Linked DNA regions of Macaca fascicularis. The protein of the gene in region 2 interacts with the protein of the main gene of each other region in a pairwise test. Links are inferred from orthologs where the notes say so. Each region holds a gene or a part of one and is shown on either strand. Other genes may lie near its edges.

What was found.
Region 1: the proteins of CREB3 (region 2) and DNAJC30 interact in a two-hybrid assay, tested with the Homo sapiens proteins (2 studies listed by BioGRID and IntAct). The two-hybrid records come from large-scale screens. The link is inferred for Macaca fascicularis from reciprocal best matches to the Homo sapiens genes CREB3 and DNAJC30.
Region 3: the proteins of CREB3 (region 2) and FAM3A interact in a two-hybrid assay, tested with the Homo sapiens proteins (2 studies listed by BioGRID and IntAct). The two-hybrid records come from large-scale screens. The link is inferred for Macaca fascicularis from reciprocal best matches to the Homo sapiens genes CREB3 and FAM3A.
Region 4: the proteins of CREB3 (region 2) and FXYD3 interact in a two-hybrid assay, tested with the Homo sapiens proteins (2 studies listed by BioGRID and IntAct). The two-hybrid records come from large-scale screens. The link is inferred for Macaca fascicularis from reciprocal best matches to the Homo sapiens genes CREB3 and FXYD3.
Region 5: the proteins of CREB3 (region 2) and SYNGR1 interact in binary tests that used the Homo sapiens proteins (3 or more experiments, as listed by UniProt). The two-hybrid records come from large-scale screens. The link is inferred for Macaca fascicularis from reciprocal best matches to the Homo sapiens genes CREB3 and SYNGR1.
Region 6: the proteins of CREB3 (region 2) and TMEM203 interact in a two-hybrid assay, tested with the Homo sapiens proteins (2 studies listed by BioGRID and IntAct). The two-hybrid records come from large-scale screens. The link is inferred for Macaca fascicularis from reciprocal best matches to the Homo sapiens genes CREB3 and TMEM203.
Region 7: the proteins of CREB3 (region 2) and FA2H interact in a two-hybrid assay, tested with the Homo sapiens proteins (2 studies listed by BioGRID and IntAct). The two-hybrid records come from large-scale screens. The link is inferred for Macaca fascicularis from reciprocal best matches to the Homo sapiens genes CREB3 and FA2H.

Annotation. Positions count from the first base shown.
Region 1 is NC_088377.1:52,553,295-52,557,250, reverse strand, and holds the start of DNAJC30 (dnaJ homolog subfamily C member 30, mitochondrial), read left to right. Parts: upstream 1-1,156; 5' UTR 1,157-1,164; coding exon 1,165-1,845; 3' UTR 1,846-3,956. Other genes in the region: BUD23 (18S rRNA (guanine-N(7))-methyltransferase), read right to left, coding at 688-818. UniProt on the Homo sapiens protein: Mitochondrial protein enriched in neurons that acts as a regulator of mitochondrial respiration. Associates with the ATP synthase complex and facilitates ATP synthesis.
Region 2 is NC_088389.1:63,665,254-63,669,419, forward strand, and holds the start of CREB3 (cyclic AMP-responsive element-binding protein 3), read right to left. Parts: upstream 2,801-4,166; 5' UTR 2,601-2,800; coding exon 2,472-2,600; intron 2,379-2,471; coding exon 2,228-2,378; intron 2,157-2,227; coding exon 2,089-2,156; intron 1,975-2,088; coding exon 1,885-1,974; intron 251-1,884; coding exon 144-250; intron 54-143; coding exon 1-53. UniProt on the Homo sapiens protein: Endoplasmic reticulum (ER)-bound sequence-specific transcription factor that directly binds DNA and activates transcription. Plays a role in the unfolded protein response (UPR), promoting cell survival versus ER stress-induced apoptotic cell death.
Region 3 is NC_088395.1:160,512,498-160,516,486, reverse strand, and holds the start of FAM3A (protein FAM3A), read left to right. Parts: upstream 1-1,189; 5' UTR 1,190-1,515; exon of another isoform or gene 1,516-1,611; 5' UTR 1,612-1,653; coding exon 1,654-1,666; intron 1,667-3,989. UniProt on the Homo sapiens protein: May act as a defensin against invading fungal microorganisms.
Region 4 is NC_088393.1:42,357,637-42,361,649, reverse strand, and holds the start of FXYD3 (FXYD domain-containing ion transport regulator 3), read right to left. Parts: upstream 2,801-4,013; 5' UTR 2,786-2,800; coding exon 2,713-2,785; intron 982-2,712; coding exon 898-981; intron 787-897; coding exon 733-786; intron 1-732. UniProt on the Homo sapiens protein: Associates with and regulates the activity of the sodium/potassium-transporting ATPase (NKA) which transports Na(+) out of the cell and K(+) into the cell.
Region 5 is NC_088384.1:12,305,232-12,309,428, forward strand, and holds the start of SYNGR1 (synaptogyrin-1), read right to left. Parts: upstream 2,801-4,197; 5' UTR 2,767-2,800; coding exon 2,668-2,766; intron 1-2,667. UniProt on the Homo sapiens protein: May play a role in regulated exocytosis. Modulates the localization of synaptophysin/SYP into synaptic-like microvesicles and may therefore play a role in synaptic-like microvesicle formation and/or maturation.
Region 6 is NC_088389.1:2,111,205-2,114,674, reverse strand, and holds TMEM203 (transmembrane protein 203), read right to left. Parts: upstream 2,060-3,470; 5' UTR 1,826-2,059; coding exon 1,415-1,825; 3' UTR 501-1,414; downstream 1-500. Other genes in the region: NDOR1 (NADPH-dependent diflavin oxidoreductase 1), read left to right, coding at 2,180-2,314, 2,637-2,714. UniProt on the Homo sapiens protein: Involved in the regulation of cellular calcium homeotasis. Required for spermatogenesis. Acts as a regulator of STING-mediated inflammatory signaling in macrophages.
Region 7 is NC_088394.1:70,536,543-70,540,042, forward strand, and holds part of FA2H (fatty acid 2-hydroxylase), read right to left. Parts: intron 3,222-3,500; coding exon 3,079-3,221; intron 2,160-3,078; coding exon 2,053-2,159; intron 1-2,052. UniProt on the Homo sapiens protein: Catalyzes the hydroxylation of free fatty acids at the C-2 position to produce 2-hydroxy fatty acids, which are building blocks of sphingolipids and glycosphingolipids common in neural tissue and epidermis.

The DNA.
Region 1 (3,956 bases), on a different chromosome or scaffold from region 2:
GGCTCACGCCTGCAATCCCAACAGTTCAGGAGACAAAGGCGGGAGGATCACTTGAGCCCTGGGATTGGACCACGTTGGGCAACACGGCGAGACCCCGTCGCTACAAAAAATTTAAAAAACTACGCCACGCGCGGTGGCGCGCGCCTGTGGTCCCAGCTACTGGAGAGGCCGAGGGGAGCCACCACGCCCGCCTAATTTTTTTATTTCTGGGGAGAGACGGGGGCTCGCGACGTTGCCCAGGCTGGTCTCGAACTCTCAAGCTCAAGCGATCCTCCCACCTCAGCCTCCCAAAGCGCTGGGACTGCTGAGATTACAGGCGTGAGCCATCCCCACCTGGCCACAACTCTGTAGTTCGTACAAACCACCCTCTATGAAATTCAGACAATAACACACCAACGGCTGTCGCGAACATTTATTGGCAAACAAGGCGCCACGATAAGCATCCTACGGATACCAATTACTTCCTTCCCCCGACCAAGACTGACCCCTCGCCCGTACCCACCGCCCAGCGCCTCTTTTACCACATGCTTACGACAAGTTGTCACACTCGACTTTAAAAACCACCCACGGAAAAGCAAGCGCGATCACCCCTACCTCAACGCTGAGATACCGAGGCCCAGAGAGATCGGCAAAGTTGAGTTACCAGAGACAGAAAAGGCACCCACCCGGGTCCTTCCCTCCCCGCACCCCCAAATTCCACGAGCTTTCTGCGTAACGCCAGCAACCGGGACAACTTGCCGCTTCCCGACCCCCGGACACCGCGCAGTACTCGGGCTCCCCTCACTTGCGAACGTATTTCCGGGCTTCTTTCTCATCATAAAACTGCAAAAAAAAAGAAAAAGAAATGGCAGGTAGTGGAGGAATTCAGACGCGGCGGCCGTAGAAGTGGGAAGAGGGGTGTCCGCGGGCCCCGGAACTTACCAGCTCCGGTGGTCCACCGTGCTCCGGACGCCGGCCGCGAGACGCCATACTCACGCCTCAGCAGCACGCCTGCGAGTGGCGTTTCCCGGAACCCGGTTTTTATGTCATCAGCCCGGCGACCGCTTGTAATACGCATGCTCCACCCCTCCTCGCCCGCCCCCCTTACGTGATTGGCTACAGGGCGACCAACCGGCGCCTCTCATTGGCCAGTTTCTCTTGCACCGCCCGCCTAATCAATTCAAGATGGCAGCCATGCGCAGGGGATGGTGGCCGCGGCTGTTACCGTGGAGGTTGCTGCAAGCCCGTGGCTTTCCACTAAATTCTACACCCGGCCTGGGCCTGGGAGCGAGGACTTATTCTCAGGGCGACTGCTCGTACTCGCGCACGGCGCTCTATGATCTGCTCGGCGTCCCCTCCACAGCCACGCAGGCCCAAATCAAGGCGGCTTACTACCGTCAGTGCTTTCTCTACCACCCGGACCGCAACTCTGGGAGCGCGGAGGCTGCCGAGCGCTTCACGCGCGTCTCCCAGGCCTACGTGGTGCTGGGCAGTGCCACCCTCCGTCGTAAGTATGATCGCGGCCTCCTCAGCGACGAGGACCTGCGCGGACCCGGCGTCCGGCCCTCCAGGACGCCCGCACCCGACCCCGGCTCGCCGCGTCCCCCGCCGCCCACTTCTCAGACCTACTACGGTTCTCGGGCCGCCCCCGGCGCCAACCGCACGATGTTCAACTTTGACGCCTTCTACCAGGCCCACTACGGGGAACAACTGGAGCGGGAACGGCGCCTGAGGGCCCGGCGAGAGGCCCTTCGCAAAAGGCAGGAGAATGCGTCCCTGAAAGGCCTCCGCTGGGAGGAGACCCGAGACGTGGCTGCCATTTTCCTCGTCTTCTCAATCTTCATCATCATCGGCTTTTATATTTAATCGGAGAGAGGAGGGAAGGGGAGTGTCCCCAGCCAACCCCCCAAAAACGGCCTTTTTTCCTGCCTCTGAACCCTTGGCCATTGATAGTCTAACCTCTGCTGAGATCCGAAGGAACTGTACTCCCCCTGCCCTCCCTGACCCGCCCAGCTTAGCCGATGACCTGCACATCCCTTCACTATGGTCCAGAAAAGGAGGTCTCTCGACGTTTAAGAAAAAGACCCCACGCTGAAGAGTCCCGAAAGCCCAGGAGTTAAGGGGTTCCTGGAGTCTCTAGGGTACTTCTTCCAGAGTTTGTCTTCCTGCTTCCAGATGTAGTCAACTTCTGGAACACTCGCTGTAGCTTTATTGTAAAGCTCCGAGCAAGATTTATCTGCTCCTGCCCCGCGTGTGTACGGTGGGCCTCCTCTGTAACCTTGAAATATGCAATGTGACCAATTGTTGGCTGCCAAAAGAAAAGGTCCGGGGTTATACGAAACTTGTCTTTCTGTGAGTTCCCCAAGCCGCAGGTGAGACCTGGTACAGGTTAAGAATGGGATCAGTGGAGAGCCTGCCATTCCTTCAGCTAAGGTCAGGCCCCTGGGGCGCTCCCCCTTCTGTTGATAGCATGTGGGAGTGAGAAAACAAAGTCATTGAGCATAAGGAATGAGTGTTTCTGTGCCCGTATTTAAGGTGTGACCTTGGAGAAGTTACTCTGTGGGCATGACAGCAGAGGAGAAAATCATTTGGCATCTTAAGGTCTGTCATGCTTTATTATCCATAGTTTTTGGGGTTTGTTTTGTTTTGTTTTGTTTTGTTTCTGAGGTGGAGTCTTGCGCTCTGTTGCCTAGGCTAGAGTGAAGTGGTGCGATCTTAGCTCACTGCAACCTCCACCTCCCAGGTTCAAGTGATTGTCCTGCCTCAGCCTCCTGACTGTGTAGCTGGGATTACAGGCTCCCGCCACCACACCTGGTTAGTTTTTTGTTATTTTTAGTAGATACAGGTTTCACCATCTTGGCCAGACTGGTCTCGAACTGCTGACCTCAGGCTGTCTACCCGCCCAGCCTCCCAGAGTGCTGGGATTGCAGGCATGAGCCACCGCGCCTGGCCTATTAGCCATGGTTCTAATCCATAGGGATTACAGCATGATGCTAGCAGGGCCAGGTTCATCCTTGGGACAGTGTGGCTGTCACCTGGCTCTCCCTTTACCAGCCAGCCCCATTGCGCACTGTGCAGCCCCTCCCCTCCCAGAAACAGAGTGACAAACTCCGCGCTTGAGTCCGTGTTCCTGTTTAACCTGCAATGCTTTTATCACAGGCCCTTTCTTAATTTTTTAGACGAGGCTGCTTGAGGCTGCAGTAAACTTTGGGGCTTTGGGAGTACACAGGACTACTGAGGGACAGGGGCTTGGTGTTTAAGGTGGAGACTTGGTTCTTAACGCAGAGCTGGCTAAAGGTGTGTTGTTTTTTCCGCTCTGTTTCTAATTCATGTTAAGTAGTTGGTCATCACTTTGGTCAGAGCTGCTGCTGTAGCTCTCTTAACTGTGAGTCACTGGATGTCAGCAGTGAGTTGGCTGTGAGATTGTAGGTGCTCAAGTGTTTATGCACCGGACTGAGTGTAAATCTGTAAAAGGGGAAAATCCTCGCAAGAGGTCTATGAGAAGGATGAGGGCCCAAGTCTAGGGTCTAAACAAAGCTAGGAGTGGTTTGGTATATTACTGAGTGCAATAATTGCATGCAATTCCTGCACTCAATATATTGTGTAAAATCCTCAGGTAGAATGGGATAAACCCACAGCTGGTCCTACTTAGCCTCTTGAAAACTATTCCATCGTGCCAATCTCTATCCGGAAAAGGAAAAAAAAAAAAAAAAAAAGGAAAACCATTCAATTATCTCTTGCCTTGGAGGTTGGGGTATGCTCCTAGTCAGGGCTTTGCAGCGACCATATGATGCAATAGTGAAGATCTGGGGCCTGGCACAACACTTTGGGAGGCTGAGGCGGGTGGATCGCTTGACCTCAGGAGTTGGAGACCAGCCTGGGCAGCACAGCAAAACCCCACCTCTACAAAAATCACGAAAATTAGCCGGGTGTGGCAAGTGCCTGTAGTCCCAGGTGCTCAGGAGGCTAAAGTGGGA
Region 2 (4,166 bases):
GAAGCTGTACTTTGTTCTGAAGCTCCATATTCTGGGCTGTGTATTTCAAGACCCTGGGGGAAATAACAAAGATATGGGGATATGGCCTGTGTCCTCCCTTCAAAAACCTAACACTTAAAACTGAGTCCCTCTCCCTTTCATACCTGCTCTCTAAACCCCCAACATACACCTTCTTTTTCCTGCGGCTCTCTTGAGCAGATCTTTTATTTCGAATCTTCCTCCGCACACGTTTCAGAATTTGTTCCTCCATCTGAAAGGAAACAGGGAAAGGGGTATCATTAGAGGGACTCTAGAACAAGAAGTTGAAAGGCAACTGAGATCCATCTCTTTCCAATACAGAAATCCCTTCTACAGCTTCCCTGACCAATAGGCATTCACATTCTTTCTGAATGCCTCCACGGAGCACGTGTTAACCCTAACAAGCCAGACCATTTTAAACTATTAAAAAAAAAAATTGGTCAGGCAATATTCAAGTGACATGGCTCATGCCTGTAATCCCAACACTTTGGGGAGCTAAGGCAGGAGGACCGCTTGAGCCCAGGAGTTTGAGACCAGCCTGAGCAACACAGTGAGACCTTGTCTCTACTAAAAATAAATTAGCCGGGTGTGGTGGCACATGCCTGTGGTCCCTGCTCCTCAGGAGGCTGAGGAAGGACAATCGCTTGAGCCTGAGAGGTCAAAGCTGTAGTGAGCCATGATCTCACCACTATTCTCCAACCTGGGCAGTAAAGCAAGAATCTGTCTTCAAACAAAAACTTCCTTATCCTGAACCAACAGCTGTCTCCTTATAATTTCTATACGTTGGACTTACCTAGTATCTCTGGGGCCAAATAGAATGAACCCTGTTAAGCTATTTTCAGGCATTTGACATTTCCTCAGAGAAAAAAAGTTCAAGAAAAAAACAGCTTAGACAAAAATTTTAACTCATCTTCTTAGGATAGACTGCATCTTCTTAGTATCTGTCAAAGATGTGCTCTAGCCAGTATAAAGGAAAGCAAGATAGTGACTTGTGGAGACAATAACTCTTGCTACAGTTTCCAAATCCCATTAACTTTCCTAGTAGCCACATCGCACTGCTGACTCATCTTGTACTTTGAAGGAATTAAAATTCTTTACTTTTGGAGGCCAAGGTGGGTAGATCACTTGAGCACAGGCGTTCAAGACCAGCCTGGCAACAAGGCAAAACCCCATCTCTACTAAAAACACCAAAAAAAAAATTTGCCGGGCAGGGTGGTGTGCACCTGTAGTCTCAGCTACTCAGGAGGCTGAGGTGGGAGAATCACCTAAGCCCAGAAATTCAAGGCTGCAGTGTGCCATGATCACATCACTGCACTCCAGCCTGTGCAACAGAACAAGACCTTGTCAAAAAAAAAAAAAAAAATTCCTGGAACCTTTCTATTAATGAGCACTGATTTCATCATAGTATCCCAGTACTCTGCTTGTGAAGTTGCCACTGATTGCTTAAAACTGGAAACTAAGGATTTTGCATTTATTCATGTACTGCTTAGTCCAATCGTGTTGAACTCTCTAAACAGTTCTACCATTCAGCAAGAGGTGGATTACTATGAAGCCAATGAAGTGTCAAGGCCCTTCACTTACACAGTCCTTTCCAAGGCCCAATACTAATGTTGCACTGATAATTTTGAGGGTTTTTTTTTGTTTGTTTTTTAACAGAACACCAAAATTTGTGTAAGCCCAACGAAAATGAGGATCTGCCTTGCATCTAGCATATTGGGTACCTGCCTCAACTTCCTATTAGCAATAAATCTGCTAAGTTTCTCACCTCAATCCTTTTTTAAAGTTATTGATATAAAGTTAACAGAATTGGCCTACTTGAGACTTTTAATCCCTTTTCAGCCTTTGCTCAACTAACGAGAGTCTTACCTTAGTGAGAGGAAGTGTCTCAGGCAGAATAAGCCCCTCCTTCTCCAATAGACTCTTCTCCTCATCTGTCAGTACCAGCCTAACAATATCCTAGGGTAACCAGAAAGTGGGCGGCAGTTGCATGGGGATGTCACAGAGGAATGGGGAATCCTGCCCCCACCTGAGGAATGTGAGAGTAATCTTCCTGAAAATCAAGTCAAGTACCTGCTCTGCCAGCTCCTCCATATGCTGTGGAGTCATCTGGGTCCCCTCTTTTCTACAGCTCTCACTCTCTGCAAAAGGGAACGTATGAATAGCCAGGCCCATGAACCCTGTCCTCCCCGCAAACTTATTTCAGACTCACCTAGATCCATAGAGACAGGTTCTCGTGGGAGGGAGTAGGTGTGGTCATGGTGGACAAGGCAGGGGTTGGAGTTGCTGAGAACGTTCAACGACGACGCTGGGGGACTCAGCAGGGAGCTCAGCAAATCATCTACCTCCCAGTCGCTCGGTACCTGCGCAGGGTTCCAGTGAACAGGCCTTGACCTATCACCATCCCCTGACCTCATGGACATCCCACGCTTTCCCCAGTCAGAACCCCAACGCACCTCAGAAAGCGGCAGCTCCCAGTCCAGTGGGGCCCTCACGGACTCATCGGGCGCCGTCCTCAAATCTCCACTTTCCTCTAGCAGGAAGCCCAGTAGGTCTTGGTCACCAGCGTCCAATTCCAGCTCCATTTGGGACAACTACGGAAAGGGTGGGCTACCGGGCCCCAACGTCCGAAGCCCAGACACGAGCCCCAGGCCAGCTGTAGGCCTCGGGCACCTATCCACTGTCCCTCTACGGCCGGGCTTCCCGGCCGGGGGCTTTCCGTAGCCCTCTCCGGACCCGCCTCCCAGGCTCAATTCTCCTCAGCCTCCAACGCAGCGAAAGTGACGCACCCCACCCCGTGGCACTGTGGGACTTGGAGTTCCCTCCAACTGAGAAGAGGCCTGGGTGCCGCGCCACGTCCCAGGGGCTATGCAAATGTAGGGGACGGCCCTGCTGCCGCCTCGCACCCCGAGGGCGGGGGTTCCAGGGCTCCGGCTCCGCCTTCTCCCCCAAGCTAGAAAAAGGAAGAGTTCTGGCCTGAAAGGGAACTCGGGCGTCGTCTTGGCGTTCTCTCCGGATTGCGCCGCACCCTCGCTTCCTGCCAGGGAGGGGCTGCCGGCCTTTGGCGGCCCCCGAGCATCGAGAACGCGGCCAGAGCAGCTTCCTGCCTGCCCCCCGCGACCATAGAGCGCTGCCCCAGGGCGCCGCCCGCGGGTGGGGGACGTTCCCAGGACGGAAGTGGCCGAGAGAGTGTCGAAGGGAGGGCGAGGCCGGAGCCCGAGGGCGACCCGAGAAGCGGCAGGGCAGCGGGCCGGCGGGCCGGCAGGCGGGGCGCAGAGCCGGGCAGCGCAGGTAGGCCAGACCGGGCCGGGCGGGGGCCTTAGGGTGGGGCCGCGGAGCCTGGCCCCGGGGGCGGGCGGGGCCCTGCCTCTCCTGCGTGTCCGGTTCGGGTTCTGTTAGTTGGAGAGGTCAGCGTCCAGCGCATCTCAACTTGGGCTCATCGTGAAGTAGGCCGTCTTAGGGGAGACAGGCCTCTCCTGGGGGCAGTCCTCTGCCTGGGATAGGCTTTGGGGAGCGTGAGGAGTCGGGTGGCAGCGGGGCGCAGGACGGGGACGGGCTTTGGTGTTAGCTGATAGCGGCCATGTGGGTAGGAAAGCTTTGGGTGAGTTGGGGATTAGGTGGGGTCCGTTTAGGAATCAAGGGTCGCTATAGGAGTTAAAAGCTGGGGTTAAAACTTAAGAGTTAGTAGTGTGAGTCAGGTCCGTTTTAGGTAGGTAAGGTTTAGATTAAGGTCATTATTTTGTTTGCTGGGATGGCCATCATACGTCATAATTTGAGTTCAGGGTCGGGTTAAGGGTCAACAACAGGAATCAGGTTAGAGCCTGTTTGAGGGATTAAAGAATGTTGACATGGTCGGTATTAAGGATAAACAGTGAAAGTGTGAGTTAGGAATCAAGTTACAAATGAACTTTAGGCTTAGGGGTCAACATTTAGGGTTAACATCAGGCGATTTGGTGCTAAAGGTAAAACTTAGATCAGTATCAGGGATCAGGGATTGGATATGAGTCTCTGCTGGGAAAGGGATGAATGTCCAAGCCGGTAGTGGGAATCAGGAAACAAATTAGAGGTGGGGTTAATGTTAGGAATTTGGGGCAACTTTAGGGGTTGTAATTGAGGCTAGCATAGTTGGCCTTGAGCAGATGAAATTTAAG
Region 3 (3,989 bases), on a different chromosome or scaffold from region 2:
CTGCCCTCCAGACGGATCAGCTGCCAGGGTGGCCCCGGCCATGTCAGCGCAGTAGGCGGTCAGGGCGCAGTTGGGGCAGCCGGCAGGGCAGAAGGGACGGGAGCTTGACCCGGGTTCTGATGGGCAGAGGGAGCCCGGGCAGGGGTGGGGGCAGCGTGCGGGCAGGCGAGGAGGGGAGAGAGCCAGGCAGTCAGGCAGAATTGAAGTGACTGGAGAAAAGCCGAAGGGCCGTGTCTGCCTGAGGCTGGAGACCACCCCAGGTCCACACAGTCCGCTGGGTGCCGGCACCGCTTGGAGCCGCAGGGAAAGCCAAGCACCGCTCTTTCTAGAGCCTTCTTTTTTTCCTATTGTTAGGGAATTCACGACGTCACACTTGTTTTCAAGTGAAAAGAGTTGTGTAGGCCACGAAAATCACGTGACTTGAAAGCTGACCCTGAGAGGCCTCAAAATAAATTCTGGTTTGCTGTGAAAGCCTCGGGTTATAGCGCTAAACTCCCCCCTCCACTGCCCCCCGAAAGTTTTATTCTCCTCTGCTTTTAGGGTGGGGTGTGGCGTAAACAACAGCTTGAGCAGCTCTGAGGGGGAGGGTGTTAGAGATCAGGCAGGTGGAGAAGGCAAGAGTTTTCAAGGATGTCGAAATAGTTTGAGGCGCCCCGTCCCATTATAAAAGTGATACGAGAGACAGCAAGAACGTGCTTCTGGACAGAAAACAGACTCTAAGGAAAGGCAGCCAGAGGTTCACGCTGGATCCTGCGGTCTTCCCTATCTGCGCCTCTGTGCCTCTCTTGCCCTTACAAGGCGCATGGATCAACTTTGGAACAGGTTCTAATTCCGCCCCAGATCCATCTGCGTCTTCCCACGCCTCAGAAATCTGACCTCAGGGCGCAAGCGCAGCCCCAGCCCTCCAAGCCTAGGTAGGCAGGGTTCTCCCATCCGAGAAAGGGCCGAGGGGAGGCTTCCGGGGCGGGACCGACGCGGCCCCTCCCACTCCGCGGGCGGTGGGTTCAGCCTGAACGTACTGCGGAGGCGGGGCCGACGAGGGATCCAGGGACGGGGCAGGTTCAGGCCCCTCCCATCAGGCGGCCAGGGCGAGCGGTAGAGGCGGGTCTGGAGGCGGGGCCTGCGTGGAGCCAGACGGCGCGGCTGCTGCCGGGGGCGGGGCCGACGGGCTGTGGCCCCGCCCTTGGCCGCCATTGCCGGGCCTGCCTGGCCGCCCTGCGCAGCGACCTTGCCTCCTCTTGCCCGGCGGAGCGGGTCAGCGGGCCTGACAGGGAGCCTTCCTGACCGAGCCCACGTCTCCCCACGGCCAGACAAGTCTCCGGCCCGGCCCGCGTCGCCAGTCCCCAGGCTTGGAGGAACGGCCCGAGCCCAGGAGAACCACATCTACGTCCCAGCCCCGGAGGCTCCTGTGGGCAAGATCGTGAGCCAACGGGTTCCTGAGGCCCCTCCTGGCCAGGCAGGGTTTCTCCGCGCGTTTCCGAGGAGCCCTGCCTGGCCGGGCGGCTGGACAAACAGGTCGTAGACCGATCGCGCCCGCCCCCAGCAGGGGTCCTGCACAGGCTTGTCCCTGACCCCCACCCAAACCCGTTCTTCCGCTTTCCCCCCAAACAGTGCACTTGCCGGCGGTCCCAACCCAGCAGGAGGAGAGTGGACATGAGGTTGGCAGGTGGGTGGCTTCCGCAGCGAACGGGAGGGAGTTGAAAAGGGCACCTGGATGGAGGCCCAGCGTCCCGACATCTGTGTCTGGAGAGGCGCGAGTGGACCACTGGGTTTGGTTTTGGAAATTTCGGAGGACTCTGTACACTCATTCCTTGACCTTAAGCAAATCCTTTCACCTCTGAGGACATCAGCTCCCCGAGCTATGACAGGAGGATTAGTATAGTCAGTATCTCCCAACGCAGGTAGTAGACCAGCTGCTTTTTGGAAAATGAGTGGTGAGAGAGAGGAGGTGGGGAGTCCAGGTGGAGAGGCGTGATCTTAGAGGGGAAGTGACAAAAGTGGCTGTGGGCTTCGACATGAACCCGATGACAGCCCTACTGTCACCTGGACAACTAAGATGAAGATCCTTGGGGAGGGATAGGTTGGGGCGGGGTGGAGAGTGGAAAGAACTCAGGAATTGAACTTCAGACTTGCTAAGGTGGTAACTTTGTGGACATATCCAAGTGGAGCTGGCCAGTGAGGAACCAGCTGGCAGGGAGTGGTTTCAAGAGAGGCCACAGCTGGAACTAGAAAATAGGAAGTCATTGACACATGGTGGTTAATTAAAGAGCTGGGAGTAGATGACATCATCTAAAAAGACACTACAGGCTGGGCGCGGTGACTCACACCTGTAATCCCAGCAGTTTGGGACGCCGAGGCGGGCAGATCACTTGAAGTCAGGAGTTTGAGACCAGCCTGGCCAACATGGTGAATCCCCATCTCTACTTAAAAAATACAAAAAAATTAGCAGGGCGTGGTGGTGGGTGCTTGTAATCCCAGCTACCGGGGAGGCTGAGGTTGCAGTGAGCCGAGATTGTGCCACTGCACACTCCAGCCTGGGCGACAGAGCAAGACTCCGTCTCAAAAAAATAAAAAGACAGCTGGGCGCAGTGGCTTACGCCTGTTATCTCAACACTTTGGGAGGCCAAAGCGGGTGGATCACCTGAGGTTAAGAGTTCAAGACCGGCCGGGCGCGGTGGCTCAAGCCTGTAATCTCAGCACTTTGGGAGGCCGAGACGGGCGGATCACGAGGTCAGGAGATCGAGACCATCCTGGCTAACACGGTGAAACCCCGTCTCTACTAAAAAATACAAAAAACTAGCCGGGCGAGGTGGCGGGCGCCTGTAGTCCCAGCTACTTGGGAGGCTGAGGCAGGAGAATGGCGTAAACCCGGGAGGCGGAGCTTGCAGTGAGCTGAGATCCGGCCACTGCACTCCAGCCCGGGCGACAGAGCGAGACTCCGTCTCAAAAAAAAAAAAAAAAAAAAAAAGTTCAAGACCAGCCAACATGGTGAAACCCCATCTCTACTAAAAATACAAAAATTAGGCCGGGCGCGGTGGCTCAAGCCTGTAATCCCAGCACTTTGGGAGGCCGAGACGGGCGGATCACGAGGTCAGGAGATCGAGACCATCCTGCCTAACACGATGAAACCCCGTCTCTACTAAAAAATACAAAAAAAAACTAGTCGGGCGAGGTGGCGGGCGCCTGTAGTCCCAGCTACTCGGGAGGCTGAGGCAGGAGAATGGCGTAAACCTGGGAGGCGGAGCTTGCAGTGAGCTGAGATCCAGCCACTGCACTCCAGCCTGGGCGACAGAGCGAGACTCCGTCTCAAAAAAAAAAAATACAAAAATTAGCCGGGCGTGTTGGCGGGTGCCTGTAATCCCAGCTGCTCGGGAGGCTGAGGCAGGAGAATCGCTTGAACCCAGGAGGCGAAGGTTGCAGTGAGCCGAGATTGTGCCATTGCATTCCAGCCTGGGGGACAAGAGCAAGACTCCATCTCAAAAAATTTAAAAAAAAAAAAGACACTACAGGTAGGGACCAGAAGGCAGCCTGAGATGGAAGCCTGGGAAAGTCCAGCTTTTAAGGGGAGGGTAGAGGAGACGATCTAACTAAGGAGAATGAGGAGTGTCCAGAGAGATCGGGTCGGGAGAGTGTGCTGTCCTGAAAGCCAGCAGAGAAGTGAGTGCTTCTGTGAGGAGGACATGGGCAGCCCACTGAGAGGTCAAGGAAGATGGGGGCTGACAGGTGACCAGGGGTGGTGACACCACAAAGGTCATCAGCGGCCTTGGCAACAAGCTGATTTGGTGGGGTGGTGGAAGCCAGGCCAGACTGGAGTAGGGTGGGAGGGAGTAGGAGGTGAGATGATGGAATGAGTATAGATGACTTTTGAGGGGGTTGACAGGGAAAAGAAAGGTTAGGGGAAAGAGGATGGGGATATGGTTTTGAAGAAGAGTGTTTGCTTTCTTAACATTGGAGATGTTGAAAATACAGGAGAAAGAGCGAGCTAGAGA
Region 4 (4,013 bases), on a different chromosome or scaffold from region 2:
AAAAAAAAGAAAAGAAAAGAAAAGAAAGAAAGAAAAAAGAGGAAAAGTGTTTGGAAGTTAAAGATGCAGTCGCACCGAGCTGAGCCTTCTACTTGAAGTTTTTGGAAAATTTACAAGAGAACTGGCTGGGCAGTTATCTTATTTCAGTGCTTTGAAGGTGTAATTTCATTGTATTCTAGCTTCCATTATTTATGTTTAATAGTCAATCAAGGCCAGTGCAGTGTGGCTCGTGCCTGTAATCCCAGCACTTTGGAAGGCTGAGGTGGGAGGATCAAACTCAGCCAGAAGTTTGAGATCAGCTTGGGCAATACAGTGAGACCTCGTCTCTGCAAAATATTTAAAAATGAGCTGGGCTTGGTGGTGTGTGCCTAGAGTTCTAGCTGTGTAAGGCTAAGGGAGTAGCATTGCTTGACCCCAGGAGTTCAAGGCTGTAGTGAACTGTGATTGCACCATTGTACTCCAGCATGAGTGACAGAGACTCCCTTTCAAAAAAAAAAAAGAAAGAAAGAGCGAGAGAATGGGGAAGATGGTGACTTTCCAGCTGTGCGAGCCAGCTCTTCTTGTGTATCCCTGGCAATCACTAGTTTGACTTTACTTACCCTCAAGGAGATGCTGTTCTAACATTTACCACCTTCCCTGGGGTGGTAGAAAAGCACAGGAGAGAGACAGAGGCTTGGCAGCCCCCCATCCAGGGGATCCAGAGGAAAAGGCAGTTGGGGGATGGGTACTCACCTACCAGGAACACAAGCAGGCCCAGGGTCACCTTCTGCATGTCAGAGCGCGGGCCTAGAGGGGTGGCAGGAGGTCCGGCCTTAGCAGAGCCACTGGGAGGCTGGCCCTGTGCCTATGGCTCCCCAACCCTCCTCCCCTGCTCCCCAGGCAGGGTGCGCAGTTCACCCAGGGCAAGAAGGCTGACATCTCGCTGGGCTGAGAGATAAGCTGCAGCTGCGCCGTGGAGTGGGGACTGGGTGAAACTCGGGCCTGACGCGGGAGGAGCCATAATAACTCACTGGACATGGACCAGGCTTTCTGTGAATCGCCCCGCAACCAAATGAGGGCACCACTGCCCGCTGTTGTCCTCATTGGACAGATGGGGAAACTGAGGCTCTGGGAGGCGAAACTAGGTGCCCTAGCCAGGAAGCAGGATTTAAGCCAGGCCTGGCTCCCCAGCAGCTGCTCCTAACTAAGGACTGTCAGGGCCTTGGGGTGTTTGGGGAAGCCAGGTGCTGGGAGCCAGGTGGCAGGAGGCCTGCTTCCCGGGGGTGTCTCCATAGACGGCTCAGAGCCTGCCTGGCCCTGCCAGGACATTGCAGACTTCAGGCTGCGGACTGAGCAGGTTCTTCAAGCTGCTCAGGGCGGGGTGTGTGGAGCAATTGACTTGAGGCTGGGACTGGGGGTAGAGGGGGACAAACTCAGCCTGGCTGCAGCCCTAGCTCCATCTCTGTTCCCCAGAACCTCCTGCCCCTCACCCCTCACCCATGCCCTTCCCGGTCCCAGCCCTGACCCTGCCTAGCCTGAGTCCCCAGCCCAGCCCCTGACCCTACCCTAGGCCCCGCAGAGCACTTTCTTTCCCAGGTAGACCTGCTCAGCATAAGGAACTTGTTTCTCTCTCCTTCCTGACCTGGCATCAGTCCTGCCCTCCCAGCCTGCAAGGCTGCACCAAGCCCGGGCCTCCAAGCATGCCCTCCCCTGCCCTGTTCCTGCCCAAATGCTGAGTGCATAGTTATCATAACTGTTTTTATTTTTTCTCTTTTTTTTGAGGCGGAGTTTCACTCTGTCGCCCAGGCTAGAGTGCAATGGCACAATCTCAGCTCACTGCAACTTCTGCCTCCTGGGTTCAAGCAATTCTTCTGCCTCAGCCTCCCGAGTAGCAGAGACTACAGACGTGTGCCACCATGCCTGGCTAATTTTTGTATTTTTGGTAGAGACAGGATTTCACCATGTTGGCCAGGTTGGTCTCGAACTCCTGACCTCAGGTGATCCACCCACCCGGGCCTCCCTAAGTGCTGGGATTACAGGTGTGAGCCACCGCACCTGGTCTAGTTATAATTTTGATAGCGAGAGCTGGTACTTCCTCCACCTTGCCCTGGGGTGCACACTGACCTTGCTGTGTTCTCACTCAACCCCCCAGCAATTTCATGGACAGCAAAAATGCTGAGAGAGGGTGGCGCCACAACCAACGGGTGGTCCCTGCAGGTTGGCACAGACTCCTCCCTCTGCCTACGCACCCCAGGGCCTGGGAATCCTCTCAGCTTCCCAGTTAATTCCACATGCTGAACTCACAATTTTAGTTTGAGCATCCATTTCTTTTCCTTTTTTTTTTTTTTTTTTTTTGTGGGAAGAAAGCCTGAGACTTTGGGGAGCATTACTGAGACCCAGGAAGTGTTTAAGATCCCCAAAAGTGTTGGGGGTCGGGGGACCTGGTGTGGGTGGGTGGGCAGGATGGCATGGTGGATAGGGGCACAGGTTGTAGGTAGACTGCCTGTGGTCTGAAGCTGTCACCCATAACCATATGAGTCCTGATAACAGCAGCAGATGTTTATTGAGTGTCTACCCCACGGGGCATTTCCTTAGCTTCCCACTTATTTGCTCAATCTCTGCAGCTTAATGTAGGGGGCACTATTATTAGCACACATTGCAGTTGTAATCCTGTAACCCCTGCAAATTCATCTTAAAGCCCTATGCTCTGTCGCCGTGGCTGTTGAGTCTCACCTCTTAAGCCTCTTTCCAGGGGCTCCTCCAAGCCACCTCTGGCCTGCAAGGCCCCACTATTCCCCCTTCCCATGATGTCATCCAGCCAAGACTAACAGATGGTATTTGCCTCGCCCCAGCCCCAGCCCCAGCTTCTGCAAAACAATGTCCAGCCCCACGTTTCTGGAGGCTGCAGGGAGCCGGGAGCTGGGTCTGCCCTCACATTCCTGATTCAGGCTATTGCTGAAGAGGCCCTGGACTGCTCCCAGACCAATGTGGTTGGTGGGCAGGTTAGAGAGGAAGGCAGCCCTGCAGCTGATGCTCTGTCTACCTGCCCTGATCCTTCCTGGCCACGAGGTCCCAAGGCCGGCCTGAGGACTGTTTGCCCCACCTGCCCTCTGCTATCCCCTCTATTCCTCCATACTGTAGGAGAAATGTCTCATGTTCAGGGGCGGGCAGAAAGATCCTGCCCGCTCTGTGCTCCTGAAATCTCCCAAGCAACTCCGTATTTACAACTTCCCCAACAGCTCTGTCCTCTTTTCCTGGAGGTTTCCAGAATCCACATCCCTCAGTGCCTGGACACCCCGAGTGCATCTAGCACTCCTCATCCACACAGATGTCCCCAGTCCATCTACGCACACCTGGTCCACTTAGATACCCCTACCTACCCAGGCACCCCCCTCTCTTCCACCCAGATATCCCCAACCCAGATACCCCTAATCCATGCAGACATCAGTCTTCCCAGACACCCCAACCACACTTACCAGTCCTGCCCTCACCCCAGCCAGCTCAACCAGTCCCTGAGAGGAGAATGGTGGGGAAAGGGACATTAGGGGAAGGGACTTTCTCCTATCTCCTGGCTCCAGAAAAACATTTCCAAAGATTTTAGGCTCTTTAACAGCAGAGCTTGTGTGTGGCAGGGTCAGTGGGCAGGTAGATACTCCCTCGTTTAGGGGCAGAGCCAAGGAGGGCTTGGAGGAAGGGGGCCCCAGCTGCTCACCTGTGTGGTTCACCAGGCTGAGCAGAGGTTCCGGGAGAAATCGGGGCTGCAAGGCGGAGTCCTGCCTTTATCCGAAGCTGCCACGCCCTGAGCAAACCTGGGCAGGTAGAAAACAAGTCAGATGCCCTAAGGCCCAGGGGCTCCGTTCCTGCTCTTAAAGAGACAGCTTCACCCCCTCCCCAGCCATCCCAGCCATGGGCAGCACGTTGCTCCCGGGGGTCACCAGGGCCACAGCAGCCTCAGGTGAGACAGAGAATTGGATGGGCTGGAGCTCGGTCCCTGGAATTAAGGGAGGAGCGCTCTCCAATCTTCTGTGCCCAGG
Region 5 (4,197 bases), on a different chromosome or scaffold from region 2:
TTTGTCTGGATTGAGGGCCTCTTGGAATGCTAAAGGCAGGAAGTTCCAGCACACCAGGATAAACGGGTCACCCTAGTCCTGGAGGTCAGTCTTCACTTGCTCTGCCCTGTGTTGTGAGGCCCAAGAGCAGGCACCGGCTGCATCCCCCGCAGCTCCTGATGTGTTTAAATGGCTCAGCACACCACACCGTCTCTAAAAGACCAGAAGGAAACAGCCCCATATTCACTGCAGCCCTCCCTAAGTGGTGGTATCACATGATTACCACCCCCCACCAAACTTTTTCTGTTGTGGGAAAATACACGTAACATACAATTTGCCATCTTCACCATTTCAGTGGTGTTAAGTACATTCCTACCGTGCAACCATCACACGTGAATTTTATACTTTCCAATAATTGGCAGGTGTTACTTTGATCAGGAAAAAAAGCTACTTTTAAAGGTGTCAATCAGCCTATCTCTTGGTTCGACAAAAGTAGTGAGCGCCTTGTATCCACGTGTGTGAGCAGGGTTGGGAGGTTGTGGCGTTGTTTGAGCATTGGTTGGCACACGTGACCTTTGTGTCCTTTCCAATCCTGACACTCCAGGATTCTGGACTCTTCCCTGTCCCAGGGGGAGAACTATGCTTTGGAGACAGGAAGACCTAGGCTCAAATGCTCGTCTGCCACTTACATGCTTAGTGACCTTGGGCCAGGCACTTGGCCTTGCTGAGCCTCAGCTTCCTCTAGTGTTGGGGAACCAGCTGGGTGGCTATGTGTGGTCTTGCACCCCACGGATGCTCAGAGGGGCTGATCCTTCCTCCTGCTTTCCACGTCCTCGCCCCTGGATGTGCACACGTGTAAATCCTCATCCCACCAGGCCCAATCTGACATTACCTTCACCATGAAATTTGATTCCACAGCAGGGAGACCCCTCTCCTGGCTCTTGTGGCCTCTGCCTAGGGGCACCTGGCTCACTTCCCAGTGTGACGGTGGCTTCCTGAGAACAAGGGCTGCTTCTGAGTCACGCTGCCTTCCCTCAGGGACCAGCAGATTCAATAAAGCTTTGCTAAATGAAGGTATCACAGGCAGAAATGACCCAAACAGACAGAATGTCCACGCCCCCTCACAAAGCCAGCGGCTTCGCCCTTCCAGGCCAGAGGCCCAGGGGCAGGCAGACTGAAGCAGTGAACACAGCCCACCCGCCTGATCCGGCAGGTGCCCCCCAGGGCTCCCACCTTTGCCAAGGGTCTGTCGGGGCATCTGGGGAGCAGGAGACTGGCACAGATGAATGAATTCAGAGCCACAAACACTCACAGATGTGCTGGGGTGCCAGGTTCTGTGCAGGTGCTGACATAAAGGCTAAAGGAATTAGGCTTTCCTGCCCTCAAAGAGCTCCCATCTGATGGCATTTGAGAAGAAAAGGCTTTAAATGGGGTCATCCTTGGCAGGCCAGGGATACATACCCAAGCCATCCTACCAACCAGACCCTGAAAACCAAGGAAACGAGGGAGCTTGAGCACCCTGAGGTCACAGTTGGCCTTGGGGTAGCCCCTGGGGTCCCTGACAGTGCCCCTGCCCAGCATCCCCAGTCCAAGCCCTTCTAGTCTGAGCCCATCAGGAATGGGCCCCAGGCCTGGAGAGGCCAGAACCTAGAGTGGGGGTTTCTGGGTTACAGCCAGCCAACCCCAGGGAGCCCCAGGAACCCCCTCTTCAGACCCCAGCAGGGCTTCTTTCCATGGGGTGACACTCAAGGCACCTGAACTCCTCCCTCTGTGCTCCCTGTCTCTGACCCATCCTCCCCTGACCACCTGACTGAACAAGAGTCCCACTCAGCCCTCCGCACTGAGGACCCTGCCCCTCAGCTGGGCTGGAGGCCACCCTGGCCTCTTCACTGTGGGAGCAGACCTTTCTCCCAGACACCCGCCATGGGCATCCAGGTGCATGCTGAGTGGGAGGGGTGTTACCGGTTCATGAAATGTCAGAGCCCAAGGGGGCCTCAAGAAGGCTCCTCCCACCTTATCTATAAATCGGGAAACTGAGGCATGAGAGAGGAGATGGCACTCCCCACCTTGGAATTGAAGTCCTCATTTCTCGAGAACATTTCCTGGGTGGCTCCCAAGGTCACGCAAGAAGGAGAGGCAGTTCCAGGGTGGAAAAGAGGCACCCAGCTCCCGACTCATCGCTCCACACGGGCCGGGCTAGGCAATACGAACCCGGTTCCCTACCCTCTCCTCCTCCAACGTCCATCGCAGGCGCGGCGTGCACCCCAGCGAGATGGTCCACGCCCTGATCCACCCTCTAAAAAGGCCACCTTAAACCCCGGCTCCGTCCCCGCGGTCCCCAGTCCGCCCTGGCGGCCGCGCACAATCCGAGCCTTTAGCTGCATAGCCGCCGCCTGGAGGTCACAGCAATCGGGGCGGGAAGGGGGGCGCACGGACCGGGGGCCCCAGGAAACCAGGGCTCCGGGAGCGGGAGCGGTGTCTCCCGCGAGCGCCAGGGCTCCCGCCCGCCCGGGGCCCAGGAAGGAGGAGCAGCGGCAGCGGGCCCCGCAGGCAGGACAGCTCCTCGCCAGCCGCCGTGCCGCCGCGCCGCCGCCGGGGGCCCGGTGGGGTCCGGGTCTGTCCGGGCGCGCCGCCCTTGCCCACACCCCCACCCCGGCCTGGCGGAGCCGCCGGCCAGTCCGTCCTTACCCAAGACACGACGCGCAGGATGGTGTGCGGCTGCCGGACCAGGGTATAGGGGTCGAAGGCGCCCCCGGCTTTGCCCGCTCCGTACGCACCCCCTTCCATCGTGGCTGCACCCGCGCGGTGCCCCCCGCTCGGCGCGCGCCGCCGGCCCGTGCGCGTGCGCGGCGCCCCCGCCCCCTCCCCTGAGCGCGCGGCCGGCGGCCCAGGGCTCCCGCGAGGGGGCGTCGTGCGCGGCGGGCGCAGCTCGCGGGGCGCGGGCGGGGGGCTGGGCGGGCGCGCGACCTCGGGCGCGGGGGCGCGCGTGCGGCGGCCCGGGGCGCAGGGCGCGCTCGCAGCCAGTGCGGTGACCTCTTTGCATGCAAAGTGTTGGGGGAGGGCGGTGCGTGTGCATCAAGTGCGGGCCGTGTCCCTGCTCCGTATCCCCGGTCCCCTGCCCCGGTCGCAGCCCCTCCGAGCCGTCGACTCTGCTGAAACCATCTTCATGCTTGATTTGTTTGGCTGTTTCCTGCCGCTTTGGCCCCAAACATAGTGAGAGGGCAGGAGCCGTGTTCGTCCTTCTTAGGGGGTGCTTGGTACACAGTAGGCGCCGCATGAGTATTTCTCAAATGAATGAATGAACCACGAGTGAATGACCCTCTTAGAGCCCTCCAGAGCAGCCCCCACCTCCCAGGACCACCTTTCCCCTGCCTCTTACGATGACGTCATCTGTGTCCCTGTGCCCGCGCACCCTCCCACCCCCAGCCTGGAGGGGCCTGGCACAGAGGCGGCAGCTGAGACTTCCTCTTCCCCATCCCCTCCTACCCCAGAACGTTGCCCCTTTCCTGAATCCATCAATTAATTACGCAATCGTTTGTTCATGGCCTCTTCCTCTGCTAGTCCGTGAGCTCCCGAGGCCCAGGTGTTGTCTAACTTATTCAGTGCCTTACCCAAGGGCCTGGCATACAGTAGGTGCTCAGTAAACAGAGCCTAGTCCCCATCAGCCCATCATAGCTTGGGCTAGACCTCCAGGTTTCACGGAAACAGAGGCTAGATGGAGGAGTGCTCCCTGCAGGGGAAGGGCCACCTTCCAGGGCTGGCTCTCCTGCTGCCCTGTAGCTCTGTGGCCTCTCTATGTCTTCAGTTACCTTCACTGGTTCCAGGAGCAGGCTGGATGAGGATATGGGTAGAGGCTTTTGCTTCTCTAGCATCCTGCCATTCTGTGATGACAGGACACAATATCTGTGTGGAGGAAATGTGTGCTGGGCCTGAGGGTGTTCCTTATAAACATTACATAGGCAATATCCATCTAAGACTCAGTTGATTGTTTAGTCTTTACCAGGCCTTGTTCTAAGGGCTTTACATACATTTCTGCATTTAATCCAGCACACTTATAAGGTGCTACTATGACTATATAAAACTTTTAGAAGAAAGCACAAGAGAAGCCCGGGCGCGGTGGCTCACGCCTGTAATCCCAGCACTTTGGGAGGCTCAGGTGGGCAGATCATGAAGTCAAGAGATCAAGACCATCCTGGCCAACATGGTGAAACCCCATCT
Region 6 (3,470 bases), about 62 Mb from region 2:
TCGATCTCCTGACCTCGTGATCCGCCCTCCTCAGCCTCCCAAAGTGCTGGGATTACAGGCGTGAGCCACCGCACCCGGCCTACTTTTAATTATTTAGGGGTGTAAAAACCATCCTCAGCTCAAGGGTCACACAAAAACAGGCCTTAGGACATTGTTTGCTGATCCCCGCGCTACAGAGTGCCAAGGCCCACACAATACCACACACTGGCAAGAAGTCACGGGCTCTGGGGTCACAAACTATTCAACGGGTCTTCAACGTGAGCCTAGACTGTTGTCTTCACACAGGGTGGGGCGGGTGCCTGAGTTACCGGCCTCCTAGAGCAGGAAGGAGGGATTCTCCAGAACGAGTGATTCCCACCACCACCACCATCCACTAAGCTCTAGCCACAGGTTTCAACCCATCTGAAACTGCAGCTCTGTAACCAGTTACACCATGCAGCAGAGAGTATCTCAATATTCATCACATTTAACCTTTGAGGGGTACAGGCAACCACTATTCATTTCAGGAAAACATTCTCTTACTTTATTTGCATCTCAGCAAAGGTTCTCATTTGGCACCTGACTGGCATCAAACCAAAGTTCATAGGCCAACAAAGCTGGGCCACTCACAAGTTTCCCATTTGTAGGTCTCAGTGCCTATGAGTATCCGACACCTGTTCCTCTCTTCAGTCTCTCAGGGAGGCTTAAATCTGTCTCAGGTGTGCTAAGAGTGCCAGCCACAAGGTGGTGAAAAGGTCCACGGAACTGCAGTCTTCGCTGGGATAGGAAACCAAGCAGTGCCTGGACAGCAGAGCTCTTTTCGTGGGCAAGAGATAACCAGACAGGACCCTAATCGTGCTCTTATTCAACATTCTTCTCTCTCTGCCTAGACTGGAATAAAAAGCCAATCTCTCGTGGCACAGGGGAGATACAAGCTGGTTTACATTTGATCTAACAAAGGCATCTACCGAAGTCTGGTCTGGATGGACGGCACAGGGAGCTCTCAGGTCAGCGCTGCTGGTTGGAGGACATTCCTGAGTCCAGCTTTGCAGCCTCTGTGCAACAGTACTTTCCCAGGATCCACAGGAAATACTCAGAGTCCACCGGGACATTTTACTTATATTCAGCTTCCAAGTGTCAGAGGGGTTCAGGACTGCCTGGCCTGGGGGCCTCCTCAGGACCTCAATTCAGGATTATCTACTCAAAGCATTAAATAAAAAGAAATACATTTTCAGGATGAAGGCTGCTCTTTTAAACCCTGCTGAAGAAACCATTTCAGGCAGGATTGAAATAGGAAAACCGGGCACTCAGTTCGGCGCAAGCAGGAGTTGCCTTTAGGCTAGAGAGCCTCTCCTCCGGTGCGGCGCAAGTGGGGCCTCGGCTTGAGGTCAGCATTCTAGCCGTCCAGCGCTCCCTCTCCGGCACCTCGGTGAGGCTAGTTGACCCGACAGGCGCGGATCATGAGCAGCTGCAGGAGAATGAAGACCGGGGACGTAATGAGGCCGAACCAGAGCTCCCGAGTCTGCTCCGCCAGCTTCTGGCACAACAGCATCTCGAAGACGAACTTGAGACTCAGGACCGTGAGGACCCAGAAAAGGCGGAGCACCGCCAGCCGCTTCTCTCCATCCTGGAAGAGGCGCACGGACACGATGGTGGTGAAGTAGGTGCTGAGCCCGTCAGCGGCGAAGAAAGGCACGAACACGTTCCACCAGGAGAGGCCCGGGACCAGGCCATCCACACGCAGTGCCAGCAGCACAGAGAACACCAGCAGGGCCAGCAGGTGCACGAAGATCTCGAAGGTGGCGAAGCCTAGCCACTGCACCAGCTCCCGGAGCGAGAAGAGCATCGCGCCCGTTGAGCGCGGGCCGGGACCCGGCCGAGCGTGCCACCCGCGGGGCTGCGTCTCCTCTCCCCGTGGCCCTCGCCCGCGCCTGCCGCCGCTGCTGCGAGCGAGAGGCAGAGAGCGGCCCCGCCACCCCCAGCCCTCGGCCCTGGTGCGCCGGCAATGCCCTGGCCCCGACCCGGGACTCAACCCTGGCCGCCGGTGGACGCCCGCCTCGATCGGACGCCATGCCCCACCGGGCGCGTCCCTAGTGCGTCACTTCCGGTCGACGGCGGAAGGTGGAGCGGTCCCTGTATCCCGGCCGGCGGGATCTGCCTTCTAGTTCTTAGTCTCCGACCTGGAGCCGGGCGCATCCAGATGCCGAACCCGCAGTTTCTGGTGCTCTTTGGCAGCCAGACAGGCACGGCTCAGGATGTGTCGGAGAGACTGGGTCGCGAGGCCCGGCGCCGGCGGCTTGGCTGCCGGGTGCAGGCCCTGGACTCCTACCCGGTGGTGAGGGCTAGCTAGGGCCTCGGCGTGGGGGACAAACAGGCCTGGCGTGCCCGCTTCTCGGGGTCATCGACCCAAAAGGCGTCGCATTATCTCTGAGAGCGGGTCTTTCCCTTATGGCGGATTTAGGGAAAGGGGAGGCTTGGGAAGAGGAGTTCAGTTTAGCACCTGGAGGAGGTTGGAACCTGAAAGAGAAGACGGTCTGGCCGCTCACATAAATTCCTCTGCCCTGTCAGCCTGAGTGAAGGAGAAGGGGGTCGAGTTTTGGGAAGGACGCCCAGTCCTTACAGCCGGAGGTCTTACGTGTGTGTGTCTTTTTGTTGAGGTGAATCTGATTAACGAGCCCCTGGTGATATTTGTTTGTGCAACTACAGGCCAAGGAGACCCCCCTGACAACATGAAGGTAAGGCTGGCCTGATGTGGCTCCTCAGATCCCTGCCCTCGACCCTCACCCCGTTTTCATTGCCTGGAGTCTAGGTGCAGTAAATAGCTCTCCTCTATCTCATGCATCTTCAGAGGTGGATTTGAGAGGACGTCCCTGAGTGGAGCTGGGGGCTCCAGTTGCTCTCTCTAATAAACGCTTCATAGCCACCAAATAGCCTTATTATCCATTTTAACCTTTCTTATCTTTCCAGGGCTATCTATATGTGCATCTAGTCTGGATCTTCTGTGTATTTCTAGACTGTATGACTCTCAGGGAACGTTGCTGAATTCTCTGACCATCTTTTAGGCACATATTCCATTCTTGGCACAGTCTGGTGCTGGGGATCCAGCTGTGAACCCAGTGCCATAGTTCTGTCCTGGCAGAGTTCATACTGTAGCAGAAGCACCTAATGGGCAATGACAGTGCCAGCGAACACCTGCAGCTGGGGAAAGTAGCGTATGTCACAGGAGCACTGATAAGGGGCATCGAGCCTTATCTCACCCAGCCTTGGGGCCCAGGCAGAGGTTTCTGGAAGAAAAGAGTGTAAACTGAGTCACCGAAGAATGCGTGAGGGCTAGTCAGGCACCAAGAAAGAAGGAGCAGTCTGTGCAGAGGAAAAAGATTATTTGGCTTGTGTGAAAAGTGAAAAGCAGCTCAGGGTGGCCAAGCTGAGGAGTGCACTGGGGCAAGAGGGGAGGAGAAGAGAGGCAGGAAGCCAGGCCCAGTCCAAAGAGC
Region 7 (3,500 bases), on a different chromosome or scaffold from region 2:
GGCCAGGCTTGTTTCAAACTCCTGACCTCAGGTGATCCACCCGCCTAGGTCTCCCAAAGTGCTGAGATTATAGGCGTGAGCTACCGTGCCCGGCCTTAGCTCTCTTATTGGTAAGGAAAGGACTGGACACACAGGAGCACTCTGGCACAGACTCAGGTCCTGGCCTCTGTCGGGCCCTGCACACCACCCCACCAGAGGCCTGCCTGCCCCTCCTCTCCGGGATGCTGCTCGCTCTAACATGCTCTCAGAAGCTGCTCTGGAGCCATCCTGAGTATGCAGCACTGCCCCCTCTCCCCTGTCCTCCCGGCTTTTGAAAGCATTTTCACGTGCGCATCTAGGAATGTCAGCCTTGAACTGGTGTCTTCGTTCAGCTTCCACTGCTTCTTGGCACCCTGACTCTTCTGTATTGATTCCAGCGTGTCCTTTGTCTAGCAGCTGCACTGGGACCCCGCCGAGCCTCTCCTTGCCTTGCTTTGTGAGCTCTTATTTTCTCTGCCTGCGGCTTGTGCCTTGCATGACAAGCTGGGGGCTGAAGGAGGCACGTGGAGACATATCTCTCATGCCCCCGTCCCTGGCGTCGTGGTCACAGGCTTACTAACCCTCTACACTGGACCTTTATAAGACAGGCACATTTTAGCTCTCTGCCGAGGCCGTGTGGCTGACAGAGCCGTCAAATCATCCTCCTTGCCTCACAGGAAAGTCCTCTCCTATAGGTCAAGCCTCTGCCCGCCCCCTCACCCCAGCATCACCCCTGTCTGCCCATCCGGCCGGAGCTGGTACTGAGTGGCATCTCTGGAGGAATCCGGCAGAGGGACCTGGGCCAAAGCTTCAGCGTCCCCTTCCCCCTCCGGCTGCCAGCCCTGGCGGCCCTGCCACTGTTTGTGATTGTTAGGGGAGTGTTGGGCAGACAGTGGGTGATTCAGCGAGCAGGACTTCTGAGCAACAAGCCCTGTGCTGTGCCTGAGCTATTCAGCGTGGGCAGAACAGGACAACCATGGCTCGAGAGATGCCCGCAGTAACCCTCGGTGACCAGGGGCAGCTCTGGGCTGGATCTGGGGGAACTTTCTGCAACTTGCTCAGCCTTGACTCAGGTGGATAAAAGAAGCTCCTGGTGCCATGACCGCGGCCCCTCTCATCTCAACCATTCAGGCACTTGACTTGCGGACTGCGGGGAAAAGAGGTGCCCCTGGCAGAGTGAGGGCAGCTCAGGAAGCTCATAGCCAGGACAGACAGACCACAGGGCAGGTGGCATGTACCTGGAGGCCCAAGGTAGGCAAGGTGCTTGCCAGGCTGGCTGTCCCAGTGGCCATACCTAAACCCACAGTCATCCTGAAAGACCCAGCTAGAAGCTGGGGTGCACCTGGTATCCACATCCTAGCCACATGACCTTCACCTACTCCCTTGATATATCTGAGGCTCCATTTCCTCAGTTCTAAAAAGGGATAATGACAGGACCCTTCTTATGGGGCTGCTGGGAGGGGTAAATGAGGCAGTCCTGGGAGAGCACATGGCCCTGCACATGGCAAGTGTCCCATAGAGGTTAGTGCGCTGTTACTCCCAGTCTGGGGGTCCGCTGCCTGAACCTTTGCCTTGGACACACTCTAGGACACTCTCAGATCTTTCTCTCCCAAGTTCTCTGCTAATCTGTGCTCGGTTCACAGGCCAGTCTGAGTCTAGCTCTCAGCTGTGTCACCTGACAAAGTGATTTCATTTAGTTTCTTAGCAAAGAATCCCAGATCATGCATTTTTTGGTGTGACACTCAATGAGAAGCACTCTTTGTCTCCCTCTTTTTTTTTTTTATTTCTATGCCACCTGATGATTCCATTTAGTTTTTGCTGATGTGTTTTTGGGTTTTGTATCCATTTGTGGGGGTAGATGGGAGTCTGACAAAATTCTTCTTTGGAAGACTATTTCTACAGAGAGGCTTCACCAAAAAATGTCTGTGATGTGGTTTGGGGTTCTATGCTCTCAGAAACTCTGGGCTAGGGAAAGCACTGAGGTCTCCTTCCTTTAGGATCCTCAGGGCAAGTCAGGAAAGAACCTGGCATTACCTGTTGTAAATGACGTGAAGAGTCGGACGTTCCCCTGGGCAAAGGTTCGGTAGTAGGACCAGCTGAGGTACAGCACCAGGGGCACCCAGATGATGGGGACACTGTACCTGTAGGAAGGCCGTCAGGGTGAGAGAGATACACATACAGGAGCTTGACAGGGTCCAGCTTTCTTTTTTTTTTTTTTTTTTGAGATGGAGTTTCACTCTTGTGGCCCAGGCTGGAGTGCAATGGCGTGATCTTGGCTCACTGCAACCTCTGCCTCCTGGGTTCAAGTGATTCTCCTGCCTCAGCCTCCCAAGTAGCCGGGATTACAGGAATGTGCCACCACACCCAGCTAATTTTGTATTTTTAGTAGAGATGGGGTTTCACCATGTTGTCAGGCTGGTCTCGAACTCCAGACCTCAGGTGATCCACCCGCCTTGGCCTCCCAAAGTGATGGGATTACAGGCGTGAGACACTGTGCCTGGCAGGGTCCAGCTTTCTTAGAGAAATATAACTCAACTGGAGGGGGGACAAGATGACAGCAAAGCATATGCAGAATGCCTATGGAGACCTGGGGTCAAAGGGACACTGGTACAGGGAGTGGGGAAGAGAAAAGAGGAGAGAGGCTGTGAGTCCATCTGCCTCCTGTCTCTGAGATGAATTATTGGCAGAAAAGAACTGTGTCCCCAGCGCTACTGACTCTATGCAAATACACAGACGCTGACCTCTTGTGGCAGAGGAGCTAATTGCAGGCAAAATTGTTTCCATGTGCACTAGGGGCAAGAAACTCCTCTTAAGAGTCTGGAATAGACCAGGAGTGACATTCAACGTAGTTTCTGGCTACATGTTGGGTTGTGACCCACCCAGTGGGCAAAACGATGCATAGGGATGAATTATTCCCATCGTGTGTTCCTCCCTCCCTGAGAGCTTTACAGCATAGACCTGGGCTCTAGGGAGGGACCCAATTGCCCCTTCCCTTTCCATATCTGATTGGCACAATCAGAAGAGAAGGGAAGCCTGCCACAGGCTCAGGGAAGAGCTCACCAGACAGTCTTAGAGAGGCCCTCAATGAGGTCTGAGTGGAAGAGGCGGATGGGCCTGGTCACCGGCTGGTGAACCCACTCATCGTACTTCTCTCCCAAGTGGCCCACCTGCCACAGGAGAGGCTTTTGCCAGTCCACCAGGTCCTGCAAGAGATGAAGCCAAGTGGACATTTGATATTCACGTCTTCCCATATTCCTTCTCTAATTTCCTCGTTACAGCATCCCAATCCCCTGCTCCTACCTCCGCTCATGTGATCTGTGTGGGACCACCCACCCTCCTGCTTCAGTGATCAAGAACTGACCAAGTTGCTCATCCCAGCCCCCAGCCACAGCAATAGGATCCAGTAAAGGTTTACGACCTAAGCTGGTGTGATGAGGCATCAGACACTCCCTCTTTCTGTTGGGCGTGCTAAATCGGCAGGG